Arabidopsis thaliana: one gene and its partners. The protein of the gene in region 2 binds, or shares a complex with, the protein of the main gene of each other region. Each region holds a gene or a part of one and is shown on either strand. Other genes may lie near its edges.

The links. The genes of interacting proteins can lie anywhere in the genome.
Region 1: CDC2 (region 2) and MYB3R-5 share a complex: the UniProt entries of both Arabidopsis thaliana proteins name them as parts of the DREAM-like complex.
Region 3: CDC2 (region 2) and MYB3R2 share a complex: the UniProt entries of both Arabidopsis thaliana proteins name them as parts of the DREAM-like complex.

The regions. Positions count from the first base shown.
Region 1 is NC_003076.8:482,243-487,985, forward strand, and holds MYB3R-5 (myb domain protein 3r-5), read right to left. Parts: upstream 4,232-5,743; 5' UTR 4,106-4,231; coding exon 4,064-4,105; intron 3,694-4,063; coding exon 3,542-3,693; intron 3,423-3,541; exon of another isoform or gene 3,411-3,422; coding exon of another isoform or gene 3,397-3,410; coding exon 3,345-3,396; intron 3,194-3,344; coding exon 3,136-3,193; intron 2,838-3,135; coding exon 2,743-2,837; intron 2,646-2,742; coding exon 2,542-2,645; intron 2,455-2,541; coding exon 2,326-2,454; intron 2,218-2,325; coding exon 1,203-2,217; 3' UTR 1,180-1,202; exon of another isoform or gene 1,098-1,179; 3' UTR 551-1,097; downstream 1-550. Other genes in the region: PRT6 (proteolysis 6), read left to right, coding at 82-150, 239-310; AT5G02330 (Cysteine/Histidine-rich C1 domain family protein), read right to left, coding at 5,030-5,743. UniProt on the Arabidopsis thaliana protein: Transcription factor that binds 5'-AACGG-3' motifs in gene promoters. Transcription repressor that regulates organ growth.
Region 2 is NC_003074.8:18,069,868-18,075,191, forward strand, and holds CDC2 (cell division control 2), read left to right. Parts: upstream 1-1,586; 5' UTR 1,587-1,804; intron 1,805-2,319; 5' UTR 2,320-2,370; coding exon 2,371-2,379; intron 2,380-2,452; coding exon 2,453-2,637; intron 2,638-2,721; coding exon 2,722-2,842; intron 2,843-2,937; coding exon 2,938-3,111; intron 3,112-3,367; coding exon 3,368-3,531; intron 3,532-3,729; coding exon 3,730-3,817; intron 3,818-3,919; coding exon 3,920-3,973; intron 3,974-4,339; coding exon 4,340-4,429; 3' UTR 4,430-4,774; downstream 4,775-5,324. UniProt on the Arabidopsis thaliana protein: Involved in the control of the cell cycle. Essential for both G1/S and G2/M (mitosis) phase transitions. Functions in cell morphogenesis as well as cell proliferation.
Region 3 is NC_003075.7:234,047-239,338, forward strand, and holds MYB3R2 (myb domain protein 3r2), read right to left. Parts: upstream 3,537-5,292; 5' UTR 3,311-3,536; coding exon 3,213-3,310; intron 2,974-3,212; coding exon of another isoform or gene 2,968-2,973; coding exon 2,913-2,967; intron 2,838-2,912; coding exon 2,780-2,837; intron 2,690-2,779; coding exon 2,580-2,689; intron 2,494-2,579; coding exon 2,381-2,493; intron 2,279-2,380; coding exon 2,150-2,278; intron 2,081-2,149; coding exon 1,761-2,080; intron 1,686-1,760; coding exon of another isoform or gene 1,680-1,685; coding exon 1,361-1,679; coding exon of another isoform or gene 1,357-1,360; exon of another isoform or gene 1,168-1,356; intron 663-1,167; coding exon 551-662; downstream 1-550. Other genes in the region: DGD2 (digalactosyl diacylglycerol deficient 2), read right to left, coding at 4,108-4,624, 4,719-5,068, 5,249-5,292. UniProt on the Arabidopsis thaliana protein: Transcription factor that binds 5'-AACGG-3' motifs in gene promoters. Required for proper circadian rhythm.

The DNA of each region.
Region 1 (5,743 bases), on a different chromosome or scaffold from region 2:
TTCTTTTCCTTTTAACTTTGATGGGTACGATCTTGTTGATTCGGATGTTTCCATGCTGTTGGTCATTGAATATTGTTTCAGGATATCGATATGATCAGAGGAAAACGACTATACCTGAATGAAGAACGTTATGCTGCTTTAACTTACTTGGTAAATGTTTGTCTCAACAATCAAAAGAAGAAACTTTTGTTTGTATGGTAAAATATATAATTGTTTTGCTTGGTGAAATCCTTTTCAGGTTGGTTCTCATGGACTTGATCGCAGTTCAAAAGTTCTCGGCCAAACCACAATTGGAGCCGTCTTACATTAAACGATCTGCGTGCTATTTCTCAGACATTGATCTCTATGAGATGGTATTCATATGTTGCTTTGAAATCATCAGTTAAGATTCTAAAGATTTGAGAGCTTTTCTGATGATTTTTTTTTATTTGATTTCTGTCACTTTGGTTGATTTCTTTATTTGTGGATATATGCGATCATGTTTGTAAATAGAGTATTATTTCTTGGCAGTTGCATAATGTTTATTTTTAACAATACTATCATTGGTTAGTCTCTGTGCGCAGATTTGCATTGTTTCTTTTATTTTATTCAGGCTTACTACCTGAAAATGGTCGATAAACATCCCAATGATTAAAAAAAAAGTGTTGATTTTGAGAAGGTTTATTTGTAAAATTTTTGATATATGTACAGATTGATCCAGAGAAAGGATAGTATCAAAACGAATGTGTTGTGTTCTGATATCACTTCGATGTCCGAAAATGGAAGAATTTTCAGTGTCTTCGTCAACTATGTAACATCATATACTCAAAAGCCCTAAAAATAAAAAAGAATTAACCAAAATTCTAATCCTTTAAAACTAGTTTCTGCACAATTATCATTTTAAACGTAAACAGGACACCATGTATGTGAACGATGAAATTAAACTACTTGTGAGTGTACCTACCTACCTATTTCATTTTAGTTCGGGTGTTAGACCAAAGCCGTAGATTCATAGCTCAAGGCTGTGAGGAAGAGAATGAGAATTGTTTTTCTTCACGGTTCTCTTCCCAGCAAAGCTTCAATTCTTCTGGAACCATACTGGTTTCTTCACACGATCTCTGTGTCAACAAGGATGGAATTATTTTAGATTTGTTACTCAGATTAGTGACATTAAATAAAAGATTTGAAATTTTCACTCACAGTTTTCTAAGGGAAGAAGGGTTCTACACAGGCTTGTCTTCCTCAGACGTTTTAATTTCATTATCAGGCTGCTTCTCTTTTGCAGATGTAAACTCAATCTCATTATCTGGCTGCTTCTCCTTTTCAGATGTAAACTCAAGCTGTCTTGATTTGATTACAGCTGTTCTTTTAGCTCTTAACCGATATGGTGGAGACAAATTGAAAGCATTTCCATTTAACCCGAGTTCTTCATCATCACTGCAATTATCAGTTGTCTCCAGCAACAAACTTTTTCTCATATCTTTACTTTCTTCTTTTCGATCAACTTCCTTAACTACACCATTAACAACAACAACAGCATCTGTTTTCGCTGCCAAAACAACCTTTCGCCTTTTCCTAAAAATAGAAGGTGTGTTTGGAAAAGTCCTAGCAGCTTCTCTCAAGAAAGATTCAGGACTTCTCGTTGCAGTTAAACCACTGTCTTTATTACAGGGTGTAGTCATTAAGCTGACTGGTGATGCAGCACCGGGACTGCAACCACATTCATATCCGTACATATGTTGCAGATCCGCTTCTGATGGAAAGTAATAGTCAAGTGGAGACTTATAGTATAAATTCCCATGCTTTGGAGTTCCAAACCCGTTTTCTACTTTCCTCTGGATTGATCTCTCAAAATAAGCTTTTGAGTTGATTCTGACTTCCTCTGAAATTGGTTCCAGATTAGGCAACTGAGGCTTGTACTCAACAGGAGAGCAAGCATACTCATTGACACCGATTCTTCGTGAAGCAGCTACTTCTTCAAGCAGAGCGGAAGAAGAGTCAAAATGGTCTCTTCCAACTTCATTTGAATCTGTATTTCCTGAAGAGGTTTGGGTAAGCGAATCAGAATCCTTGAAAGGTTTAGTTGCACTAGACTGCTTGGAATCTCTGTCTCCATCAGCAATATCTTTCAGAACGATGAATTTGCTTGCTGGCGGTGGCAAGTTACCAGTTGCTAAGTAGAACTCTAATTTTTTCTTCAGTGAACTATTCCAATGGTTCTTTATGGCGTTATCAGTCCTGCAAAAAGTACAGGTAGACATCAGAAGCAAAAACTGTATGAGATGTTCAAAAATGTCCATTAACTTTATTTTTCACAAGGCCTTTTTCAACTACAAGTAAGTATACCTTCCTGGTAAAACCTTAGCAATTTCCGCCCATTTGTTTCCGTACATTCGATGAGAATTCATGAGAGCTGATTCTTCTTCTACGGTCCAAGCATCCTTTCTAATACCAGGATTTAAATGGTTGTGCCACCTGTAATCGTAAACTCGTTGAGGCTTCCAAACTCAACGGAGGTACAGGCTCTATTCTTCAGATAGTCAATATTCTAATCTTTGTTACCTTTCTCGACATTGTTTCCCAATACGACCTGGTAAGGACTTGGCGATGACAGACCATTTGGCAGGTCCATATTTTTTTACAAGTTCAACGATTTTATCATCCTCCTACAATTCACGAAAGAAAGAGAATTTTAGAGCTACCAAATTTTTACGTAAAATGAAAACCAAAAAAAGTTTCAGAACATGAAAATGATAAGAGAACCTCTTGAGTCCAAGGTCCTTTAACAAGCTCTGGATTAAGAACTTTCTGCCACCTGTGCAAGCATTGGACTTCTGTTCTCTCTGGGAAAAATTCCGCTGTAAGATGAAATACAAAAAAATCAAACAAACAGAACATTGACCGAAACCAGCTACTTTAACATTTAAGAGACAAAAAAGAAATCATGGTTCTCTTGCAAAGTGCACAGCAGAGATCATGTTTACTGAATGAGAAAAATTCACAAAATTCTCAGCAGATTTAAGATACGAGTTCAGTTTTAAAAATGTATAAATTATACATTCAAGTATACATCAAGACAAGAGTGTGATTAGAAGACCTATAATCTCATTCTAATGTATTGCAATACTACTTTTACATTCAAGAAAAGAAATTTACCTATTTTCTTCCACCTCTTCCCCTTATACTTTTCAACTGCTCGTCTAAGTGTCTCATCCTGAATAGTGATAAAAACCAATTACAGACCACAATAAGGCTAGTCTCGTCTTTCATTCAAGTAAACACTAATCCTTATACATATAAGATACATAGTCGAATGAGGTTGCTCCACACACCAACAAAATTATGAAACAAAAGCAACCACTAACCTCCTCTGGAGTCCAACCACCTTTTGCTCGTCTCATAGGTCCACTAGTCCTCCTGCAGATCAACATTAAAACATTGCAGAAACCCAAAATGAGTTCGGTGTAAGTCATCAAAGCACAGTCTTTCCAATCAATCAATTTCATAATAAGTTGTATAAACACACAGATAGAAGATGAAATGTAAAAGATAGTAAAAGTACCGAGGAAATGAAGATACTGTGGCAGGAGTTGCGATTTCAGGTGACTTGAGGAAGAAACAGCCACTACCTTCGGATGCAGAAGAGCAAGAAGCAGCTAATGGTTGCTTATTCTCCATACATTGAATCTCAATTTTCATTTCACTTCTTTCCTCCTAAAAAACCCATATAAATCACCAAATCCAGAATTTTCGTTAAAAACATGGGATTGAGCACAAAATGAACAAGAACGTATCTTTATCAAACAAATAATCAAAAATCACAAAACCCTAAAAACTCAACGGCCGCAAAATAGAAGCCAGATCTCACAAAAAAACAAGTCGATTTCTTTCAAGCACAAGATGGATGTTTAGGGTTTATACAATTCTAATCATTAGAAACCAATTCAGACCCTTTTCCAAGACCTGTTAAAACGTGTTCCGATTCAGACCTAAAACCCCATGAACTCACACCAAAGTAGACGAAGATAACAATCTGATCACAAAAAATGAAAAGCCCTAATCAGATTTCAGGGAAAAATCTGACCTTTTCCGGTGAACAAACCGGTGGATTCGAACTTGAGCTCATCGTGATCGCCAGATAAGCGAATTCGCGAGGAAGAAGAAGAAGGGAACGTTAAAAAACAAACCAAAACTTATATTCGAAAAAAACTTTGCCCGTTGAACGAGAGAGAAGAGAGAAAGGAGAAGGAGACTAATTGGGATTAAAACAAATATTGTAACGAATACTTCTTCCGCCGACGTAACTGCTAACTGCCGTTAACCTGGAACCGGCCGGTTTATTCCAAACCGACTCAAAAGAATTGGAAGAAGCCGGTTAATTGAATTGAGAAAATGAATGTTTTTTTACGAAACTTATTAATGTGACTGGGCTAATTAATTAATTATAATATTCTTTCGGATAAAAACGAAAACAACGAGTTTAATTCGTGGTTGGATAAAACCGGTTATCTAAAATCAAACTATAACCGAAAATGGTGACAAGAAACCACAGGGGGACTTAACGGACGTTAAAAGTAGAAGAAAGGTTGACGTTGGAAATAAAAGTTTCAACCTCAAACGGCACTCTTTAGCTGATGCGTTGACCATTGTACACGTCGGCAAATCAGAGGTCCTCAATGATTATGGACCGTCGGATCATTAAGATAACTCATTCTGGTTTTTTTTTTTACTGTAGTTTCTTAAGCGAGAACAGTCCGAATTGGCCCATAATTTAAAGCCCAAAGGCCGAGATATAATTAATCAGTCGAGGTTTTTGGGTAAGAAGAAGATATAGAAAATTACAATTCGTTTTAGTAAAAGAAAAGATTACACAAAAACGTAAACAACCAGACAACAAGAAGATTGAGCAAATGGGGAACTAGAAGAAGTTAAGAATCCAAAAGTATTACAATACGTTTTAATAGAAGAAACATATTACAAAACGTAGACAAGCAAATGGGGAGTGAAATATAGCGAATAAGGGACGACGAAGCACCGGCGATGATGACATCTAATCCATCGAACAACTGTAAGAGCAAAATGTCATGTCATGCCAATTGAAAATTACTTTGTGTGGACAACGATCTTCTTTATGAAGTTGGCAGAATGGTCGAGTCATGGTATTGTTGGGAAGAATATAAATGTTTGACCTATAAGCCATTACAGTATGACCAGGATTCAACATATACATCTCTTTTCCAAGCAAACAATCAACATGGAGAGTGGTGCAGCAGTCATCACACGCATAGAACCCACCTTCTCTTGAGTATTCTAATTTCTTTTCGCATACCTCACACCAGTCTAACTGATCACTTCCCTCTTCCCCTTCCCGAAATGTGAGGAAATGTTTGTCAAGCTTATACTTTGCCTTGTATGGTAAAGTAGCACAACTGAAACATATAATATAATTGCATTCGATGCAATTTAGTTTTCGACCATACTTTTTTCGGCAAATTTGACAAATTGCCTCCCTTTCTTCTTTTCGGTCTAAAGCTTGGAATAAGGGATGCTCATGGCCTTGATAATCAAATGGTTCAGAAACAGAGGCACACCGTATGTCTATGCTGTATTGATCCTCCTCATAGATGAAGCCACAACTTTCACGATCACAAGCGGAACACCTGAAGTAACCTTTAAAGTATTCATTCTGTATATCAGAGACAACTTTTAGCGTAAGTGGGTGACTGTGTAAGGCATGATCTTTCTTGCGAGAAGCATTTGCACA
Region 2 (5,324 bases):
AAATAGTATATTTACAAATAGAATAGTATCTCTCAAATTGCAACAACGAAACTCAATTTCATCACCAAGACACCAAGCGCAACAACGAAAGTCGATTCCCTGAATCCAAATTGTGTTCCTCCCTCTGTAATTCGAAACCCCCAAATCAAATCTCACCCAAAAGTAATTAAGAGACTCTGATTTGAAAACAAAAACAAGTAACGAGGTAGGTGTAAAGACTTTACTGGGAGAAAGAGAGAGGGAGAGGGAAAAAGAAAGAGAGAGAAAGAGAGAGGGGGAGAGAGAGAAAGAGGGAGGGAAGATAGAAGGGAAGAGAGAGGTAGACGGAAAGAGAAATGGAGAAAAATAGATAAAGGGGTAAACTTGGAATTAATATACAAAATATAGAGGATATCAGTTCTTTTTCCTTTTGATGTTAGTTTCTTAATTATAAACTTTTTGTTGGTTAGTTTTGCCAATTCCCTTACTTACAACTGATAACCGTATAGCTCTTTTATCAGAAAAAACTTTATATATCTAATCTCCCAAAATATACAAATGTGAGAAATATCTGAAAATAAATCAATTCTCACCAATTATATATATTTGATTACTTAAAAATGTTAATATATGGCAGTTGCTTGTTCAGAGAATAACTTAAAAAATTGATCACGAGATCGGCTTATGTTTAATATTTTTGAACTCTTGGGATAAAAGTTTTGAAGATATATATATCGTAGAAAAGTTTTGTGTTCTTTAATTAGTTACAAAATTTTGAGTTTTTTTTTTTTCTTTCATAAAGTATCAGAATATCAGGGTGATTTATTGAATAGTTTATTTTTTCTCGTTCTACTCACGTTATTCTTGCAAGTATTAATTTTGGTTTGTTTATAAAAAAAGTATTTGGAAATTTTATGTGAGCAAGTGCGAAATAAACGAGGATTTTGGGAAGTATTTTTTTTTTTGTAAAATCGGTTATATTGAACGTTATACTATATATATTATTATATAAATATAACTGCTAAAGACTAAATTTAGATACTAAAATCAGCATTGATGAAGATCCACATGAATAAGACTCGTCTCTTAACTCAACATTTAACATATGATTTTCATATTATTGATCATTTATCTTTGTGTTGGTCCAAGGTGCCAGACTTTATTATTTACATTAAATGTTGAGTTGTTTACTGACATATTTTTTAATTAAAACAACTTTCATATTATTGCCCATTTATATTTTGGTTGGTCCTCCAAAGACTTACAGGATACATATGTTTCTCCATTTTCATTTTTATGATCTAAAACGTCTTTTTCTAACTTAGATTCTAAATGGTTACAGCAAACCGGACATACAATTTTGCTTGTCAAATGGATCGTTGAGATAGACAACAATCCAATGTAAAACCAAAACTCTTGATTTATAATTGGTCTGCAATGATTTTTTTTTGGTTCATATACCATTTTATAAGATAGCAAACCATTTTCATCATAAAAGATATATTTTTTTATCATTGAATACCAATCAAACCCGGTATAATAAATAAAATTGTACCAAATTAATGCGGTTAGGTAAATTCAATTTATTGGAAATTAAAGAAGAGAAAAAAAAAATAACGAACAAAATTTCCTTGACACAAAAAAAAAAAAAGAAGAAAGAAAAAACCCTTACTCTCAATTAGTCAATCCCCTTCCCTAGTCCTCCTCTCTTCAAGCTTTTCACAGAAAACCACCACCCTTCTCTCTCTACTGCCTTTTTACCACAGAGAAGAGAGAGGATCCGTCGGTGTGCTAGTCTCACTGACACTACATCCGATCGTCGCCGGTAAGTTGATTTCGTTACTCTCCGATCAATTTCTTTTCCGGAGGAGGAACTTGTTTTCCGTGCGAAATTCTGACTTGAACTTTGTTGTCAATTCATCAAACGCTTTATCTTTTCTCCATCTTCAATTATCTTACTGCTTCGTCGCTGATCTCTACTTGTTTTCCTCCGTTTTGCATTTTCAGTGGCGTTTCTTAGTGTTTCACTAGATTTAGACTGGTTTTGCTTGTGTGCATTTTGTCATCAGTGTTTATGATTGTTCGCTTTAGCTCTATGTTTCTATGGATTTGATAATATATGAGTTCGCTGCTCTGGATTCAGCTGGCTTGTTTGATTGTTCATTTTCATAATTCTGTCCAAAGAATCAAATCCACAGTAGCTCGGATCTGAGATTGATTTGTTTCTTTGCGTCTTTGTGTAGATTTGACTTTAATTTTGAGATTGTTGTGTGCTGATATACAGCTTAATTAATATAGCCTCTGATGTGTTATTATCGATGTGTCATTATCAATCTACAGGTGACATTTTATAAGTGTGGAGTTTACTTCAGCTTTATTATTCAGGAATTGATGGATCAGGTTGGTGTAAATAGTTGTTTCAGTTCTTACTCTTTTGACGAGAGTCTCTGTTAATGTGCTCTTATTAATGCAGTACGAGAAAGTTGAGAAGATTGGTGAAGGAACTTACGGTGTGGTTTATAAGGCACGTGACAAAGTGACTAATGAGACAATTGCTTTGAAGAAGATCAGGCTAGAGCAGGAGGATGAAGGTGTTCCTAGCACAGCAATCAGAGAAATCTCCCTCTTGAAAGAAATGCAGCACAGCAACATTGTCAAGTATGATGTTAATACCATTGTTGAAAACTGATTCAGCATGATGACTCTGGTAAACAATTTTGATTGATGTTTTTTGCTACACAGATTGCAGGATGTGGTGCACAGCGAGAAACGTTTGTATCTGGTTTTTGAGTATCTTGACTTGGATCTCAAAAAGCACATGGATTCTACTCCTGATTTCTCCAAGGATCTACATATGATCAAAGTGAGTGCTAAGAAACTTTAGGCATTGTTTTATATATGTGCTTAAACTCAATACTCAATATAAGCTGATCAGAGCTGTTCATCCACTATTTTCAGACATATCTTTACCAGATTCTCCGTGGAATTGCGTATTGCCACTCTCATAGGGTTCTCCATCGTGATCTGAAGCCACAGAATTTGTTGATTGATCGCCGCACAAACTCACTGAAGCTTGCTGATTTTGGACTGGCCAGAGCATTCGGTATCCCTGTCAGGACATTTACTCATGAGGTACCAAAGAGCTTTATTCCTTGTTCATATGTTCCCGTTATGAAATCTTTTGGCTGGCTGCATTCCTTATGAGTGTAATGTAAATTAAGTATTATACCACTTATGTGTCTGATAAATGTGATGAAAAGGACTAAGCCATTTCACATAGACGGTTGAAGTAAGCTAGTTCAAGATACTGTAAAATATTTCAATGCTACATCCAGATTTCAGATCTCTTCCTGGTTATTCACACAATTTTTGCATATTGTTCCTTTAGGTTGTTACTCTCTGGTACCGAGCACCAGAGATACTCCTAGGATCTCATCATTACTCTACACCTGTTGATATTTGGTCTGTGGGGTGCATATTTGCTGAGATGATCAGCCAAAAGCCCTTATTTCCTGGAGACTCCGAGATTGATCAACTCTTCAAGATTTTCAGGTTTAATTGCTAACTTCCCCAGTCCAATATTCCTCTATATATTACAAGTGCAAAGACTTGTCTGCAATGATATCACAAGGGATTGTGGAAACATTTTCAACTTGATATCACATTTTGGAGAAGTAGTAAAGGACACAGAAATTGAATTGTTAACTGATTATAAATCTGTTACTGCCTTGTTTTGTTGTCTTCTTCTAGAATCATGGGAACTCCGTACGAGGATACATGGCGTGGGGTAACTTCTCTACCGGATTATAAATCTGCTTTCCCTAAATGGAAACCAACGGTACTTCAAATGTCTTTATTCGCTTGTACATCTTGTCTTCAGTAGTCAAGAGTTCACAACATATATTAATTCTTGCCCTTGTTTTTTTTTCTTATACCACAGGACCTAGAAACTTTTGTCCCCAATCTAGATCCCGATGGAGTCGATCTCCTTTCTGTAAGTTCACTGAGCTAGATATATACACACACATATATAGACACACTACTTCTGCTATTAGAGACCTGTATGCTTGATTGTGATGGATCTGGTCTCATGTTTCTTACTAAAAACCTTTTAACCATTTGAGGTTTTAGATGTCTTATAAAGTCATCAAGAGCCGGCGTACTAAAACCAATTCGATTAGGCTTCATAGTTTCAAAACCACATGAAGCCAAAACCAAACTTGTTTGAAATATGAACAATCTTCAAAAACCAGGATTCTTGAAATTCCTAACCAAACCAGACATCTGGATAGAAATCTAAGATTTTGAGCTCCTGTGAAAGCAAAGATGATAATATATCTCTCTGCTTGATTTGTTTCAGAAAATGCTGTTAATGGATCCGACCAAAAGAATCAACGCAAGAGCCGCCCTGGAGCATGAATACTTCAAGGATCTTGGAGGCATGCCTTAGAAAGGCATAAAACCAGTAATCTCCTTCATTCTATATATAATTATCAATCCTAAGAAAATGAAGAACAATATTAATGGGTTTTGTTTATTCTTTTTCTGAGTTCGTTTCCTACTTATATTCTATTACGAAAAAAAAGAAAGAAGAAGATTTCGAGTGTGTTTTTTTTTACTTCTAAGCTTTTGAGATCAGTTTCTTGTATCTTATTTTACCCAGAATATAGTATTTCCCTATATGAAATATGGTTTTTGTTTTGCAAAATGACCATATTATGCAACTTCTCAGCTTCTTGATTGTGCCTTGATAGTGATCTTTTGAAATATATCCCAAAAAACATCACTTTTTTCGATTTCATTAGTACTTATTTACGAGTTACGACGTCATTTGATAACTAGTATATATGGTCCGTCGATCTTAATTTCCTATTTATAAAGGGTGCACCGTTTTTAATGAGACAAGAGGGTCCAAGTAGCCAATCATTAATGAGACCAAAGTTGACCAGAAAAAGCTGACAAATAAATTGACGAGAAGAACAATTCAACACGTATTCGATAGTTTGGATTACATTTTACAGTTGGTCGAAATTCGAAGTAGATCAAATGTCAATAATCTAATTCGAAACTAAATGAAGGTACCTGATAACCATTTCAGTGTTAGTTAGCAGTGGTTTCAATCTATTCACTAAGCAAAGACGCTTCCATTCTGAAAATCAAGTCCAATGGGAGGCATAAACTTAAGTGTCTGAAAAACTCAAAAAAGCATAGCCTCGTGTAAAATAGACCGATCTATTTATTCATGAATATATGTATGATTATCAAAGTGCATTTATACTTTTTACGTTTTAAAATTTCGTATATAAACTTTCCTTAGTGAATATTATAACATAATTTCTAATGAA
Region 3 (5,292 bases), on a different chromosome or scaffold from region 2:
ATACTGAGACTGCATTACGTTTTGTTTTCTAGCCCATTACGTGTCACGGTGTGCGTATCTTTTGATAATGTCTCAATCAAAACCTTTGGATTATCTTTTGAACGTAAACACACAACATCTTTTTAACATAAACGTTAACCGCAACAATTTTGTGATATCAACACTGGTTGATTTTACCAATAAATAAATAAATTATAATTGTAGAATCCTTTATTATAGAAAAAGTTGTTGGTTTGGATCTAGACATCTAGTTTTTAAATTGTGTAGTTACACTACTTAAAAATATATTAACAACAAGTCCAAAAATCTAAATGTAAATTCGATTTTACTGAAAAAAATTATATTTAATGAGAAAAATAAGCAAATTGTAATATAACAATTTTCATCTATTTACTTTTCTTTGGTTGATTATTGTCATCTATTTTAATGTTTCTTTTTTATTGCCTCAAACAAATTAGCCAACAGAGTTTATTTCACTAGACCGAATTAATGCAAATCAGAGAAAACCATAATAATAATAAAAAAACGTGTCCGATCTGTAACCTAAACACTAACGTAACCAAAACGGACGCACAAGACCGGATTTAAGATCAGATTTTTGGGGCAGAATCCTAACAGAGAAATTGACAATCCCGTTTCTTCGACCATGTTCGTCCCACAATCTGTAACTCAAACAGTGCATAAATCCCTCCGGTGCATATTCTCCCGTAAAATCCTTTACCGGCACACGTGCCGTTCCCACGCGCTTATCCTTCCCTGAACTCCGACATAAAACCTGAACGTACATCACGCTTGTCGCTTTTTCCTCCGACGAAAACTCAGTCTCTAGCTCATCCTCCCACATCGGACAATTCCCACCGACCTCGTCGACACTCGTCCTCATTGGCTGTTTCCAATAGTTCCCGGCCATGTCGAAGACAACGAAGGCGTTCTTATTCACCGGTTTTCTACCGTCGACCAGATTTTCCGCCGATACGGCCGTGATTTGGATCTTACGACTCATTACACAGAGAATGCTTTCAAGATATAAAGATTGTGCTTCCTTTTTTCTTTTCACGAGAGGAACTTGTATAAGTATATGTATTAGGGTAACTTTTTGTAAAGGCTTTTTAACTTTTTACTCGGATTAGGAAATTAGGAAGGTGATGAGAAATTACCACACACAAGAAGAGAAGCTTCTCTCTTTCTTCCTGATAAATATATCGGAAACAAAATAAATTAAAAGACTACCATAAAACCTATGTTTACTTGTACATCAAGGAAAATAAAGCAAAGTTTAATGAGTTATTATTAAACTCTATGATTCCTAAATACGAAAGCTAAAAAGCAAAAAGAAATCAAAAGCACTTTCTCTTCTCACAGAAAGTCAAAATCTAAACGCCTCTCCAAGGGTTTTGAGCCAGAGCAGGTGTTGCGTTTCACAAATCTGTATTTGGATGAAGGAGAAGCTGAAACTGAGTGATCTTCCTCACTTGACATGTGACTTCGAGCATCTGTTGGAAACGGTGTATCGTATTTTTGTCTGAGCCGTTTCAAACCTGAAGCTGGTGAGCTTGTTTTGGAGATAATGGAGGGTGTGTCGAAAGTCCTCGCAGCCATTCTAAGTCTCTCTTTCATCTCCCTCACTTCCTTTACGCACACAGTATCGTTGTTGCTGTTCTGTGGAGTTTCTAAACACGCTGAAACTTTTACATAAAGACTTGTTAACATGTGATGATCAATTGTAGAACGTATCCAATGAGATAATATTTCAGCCTTACCATTGAGTCTTGCACAAACTGAGTCTACTGATGATGAGACTGATTCTTCTCCTCTAAGAGAGCTTGTGGATGAAGAAATGCTCCTCCAATTCAGTCCTAAAGTTAAATCCAAGAAATCCCTTTGAGGACTCTTTGCAGCTTCCTTGATTTGTGATGTTATGCAACTCTCGACCATCGTGTTTCTTTGATTGAAAAAGTTGTATTCAAAACCAGAACTAGGTTTAGAACCATAGACCACACCAGAGAAGAGGTTACTAGGAAACTGCTCTAGCCTTTTCTTAACTGAACAATTCCAATGGTTCTTAATATTATTCTCCGTCCTGTTAGTTTTCACGAACAAGAAGGTTAGTTAAATCCACAACAATGTTTTCTTAGTTTTAAGGACAAACCTTCCAGGCAATAGCTTGGCAATCTCTGCCCATTTGTTGCCGTTTCCTCTTTGTGCTTGAACGAGAATTAATTCCTCTTCTCTAGTCCATGGAGATTTTATAATAGTCGGATTCAAATGATTATGCCACCTAAGACATAACAAAAAACCCATAATCAACATTATGGGGAAAATGTGGACTTGTCATCAAGTTCACAAACCAAATGTGAAAAGAAAGAAAAATGTAAGAAACCTTTCGCGGCATTGCTTGCCGATGCGACCAGGGAGTTCCTTTGAAATTTTTGACCATGGAGGCCTATCATTCTCCATATAATCTTTAACCAACTCACTTAAGAGTTCATCTTCCTGAATATCAAGAGACATATATGATCACTAGGTAATGAAACAACGTAACATAGCATATATTAAGAAAGGAATGCAAAAGTAGTTACCTCTTTTTTCCAAGCTCCTTTTTGGAGGCTTGGATCAAGAACCTTAAGCCAACGGTGCTGACATTGGACATCATTCCTCCTATTCTCTTCCGACCCAGGAAGGCATTCAGCTAAACCAAAGACAAGAGAAAAAAAACTCATATAGTGTATATTGGTTTTAGGGCAAATATTGATGGCTAACACATCAAAATATTATTTACCAATCCTTTTCCAGTTCCTCCCTTGGTACTTCTTCACAACATTCGTCAAAATTTGGTCCTGCATAAGATGGAAAAAAGGTTTCAGTGACACATTTATATAACTTGGACAAGACATAACAAGAGATATAAGTACCTCTTCGGCTGTCCATCCTCCTTTAGTTGATCTTCTAGTAGGACCACTCACTCTTCTGTATCTTTAACCACAAATCAAACATCACAAAGCAATCATAAGATCAAACCCTAATGACATATAAACATATATACTTAAAACTGATATTATAAATTTCCCACTAATCTTAATCATCACACATAAAAACCTTAATCACATATATATATAACACCCACCCCCAAATTCATCAAGTTGCAACAAATATAAACCAAACCACAAAATATAATTGAGGAACGAACAAGAGATGGACGAAGAGAAACATACCCTTTTGAAGAGTCATCAATTGCAAAAATAGGAGTAACGTCGTCGGTGTTGTTATCAGACTCGGACTCTGATCGATTTAAATCAATAGACTCTGTCATAAGTCTTTCAGAAATTGACAAAACCTAAAACCCTAAATAACAGCCTCAACTAACGAGAATATAGAAGAAAACAACGAGATCCTAAACTACATAACTATCTTAAACTATAAATTGAACGGACAAGAGTTTTTTCAATCGCAAAAAGTTCTAATCTATGAGAGAAAGACTTGAAATCGCTCTGTCGAGAGAAAGAGGAGAGACTGAAAAGGATTTGTCGTTCAGTAACGGCTATCCAAAAAATCTTTTTTTATGCATAAAGAGATTCTCTAGTCCATTTTTCTCTCTAAAATATTAATATTTAATTACTTTTTTTCTTGGTAAATGTTTTTTTTGTGGGATTAAGATTCTATATTATCTTTTTGATAATAAAAACAAAAATATTAGCAAAATAGAAAAGATTCACAAGATCTTTATTAGAAGAAAAGTGAATGGTATGCATAAATAAAATCCATGAAAAGTAAACCATTAATGCACAGGACACGAGTTACTCATAGTTCATATGTTAAATGGTTTTCTTATTAGCAATTAGATATGGCTCTAATATGAGCAATTGGCCACATAAGTGGACAAATGCGAATTCGAAATGATATGTACAGCTTCTGATTCTTTTAATGGAATCATATACTAAATTTTATAATTCAGACTCGTGTCATCATACATGTTCCACAAGATGAAAAATCTAACTTTCATCATCAATATTACACCAAAGCTGCTATAGAATGATTCAGATAGTATACATTGATTTATACACAAAAATATCCCAATGATATGCAGACAAAGATAAATTAAAAAACAGGTCAATCTTGCTTGCGAGTATTTGGGGAAGGAGTGTTGAGAGACAAACCAAGATCTCTACATAACTCTTCATCGGGCTGCAAGCTTCCAGGTATAGCACCAAAAGCTGTTCTGGAAGCTTCAAATCCAGACGCCAAGAAATGAATATACGCTGACATATCCTCCAAGTTTTTCCCCACACTAATCGAAGATGACGCAAACACACTTCTCTTTGACAAGTTCGAATCAGCTCTTGATAACCGGTTCAGATCAGAGACTTTTATAAACCGTTGTGTAGCAGCTTCCCATGATAGTTCATGCCTTTGTTGCTCTGTAAGTTGCGATGGTTGTTCCCCAAGAGCCTTGAGCGTGGCTCTTACAAAACCTTGTCCATCGTCATAGGTTCTGCAGTTGGGAAACTGTTTGAAGAACTTGTTCGATATGTGATTCGCGCATACTACTATTTTTCCCATCGCCAAGGCTTCTGCAGTTGTTGTACACACAACGTCTGTCGTGCTGGGGTTGAGAAACACTTTATAGCTGAAAATAGAAGATGGAAAAGTTTAAGGTATAGAATCCGATAGACTGCAAGGAAATCAATCAATCTTGAGGCTGTTAAGAACTAGAGACTTACTTGTGAAATAGCGAGTCAGCGTGATCACGTCCTGGGTAAACATTAACCGTCAAGTCGAGTTTTCGGGCTGCTTCTTTGATCTCTTCAGAGTCCTCTCCATCACCGTATAAATCAACCTCTAACTCGGCAAGTTCCTTTTGGTGTTTCTCAAGTAGTTTAAGAAGCTCCTTGTACCCTTTGCTCCAGACCATCTTACCAATGTAGTATGCGCCTTTAGTGAAGGGCTGCTCCTGGAGCTTCTGCTGTTCTAGTTTTCTCAACCCAATTTCGAGAAATTTAGGGTTGACGCCATGAACATTGCAGACTATAGATTTAGGGTATTCTTGAGTCGCAGCAGATAACCTGATTACCTGCAGGAGTAACATCATTGGTACAAGTCCTGATTCACATCAAAAGGACCGGCCATAATTGTGGTCACATTCCAACAAACTGTCTTGATTCTCAAATTAAACCCAGCCATTGGATATATTCACATAATTGAGCAATCACTCTATCATGTCCTAGTGGCTGTAAAGAAGAAAGAAGTTTACCTTGTGGCAGTAAATGCCAACAACCCAACTATTTAAGTATTTGA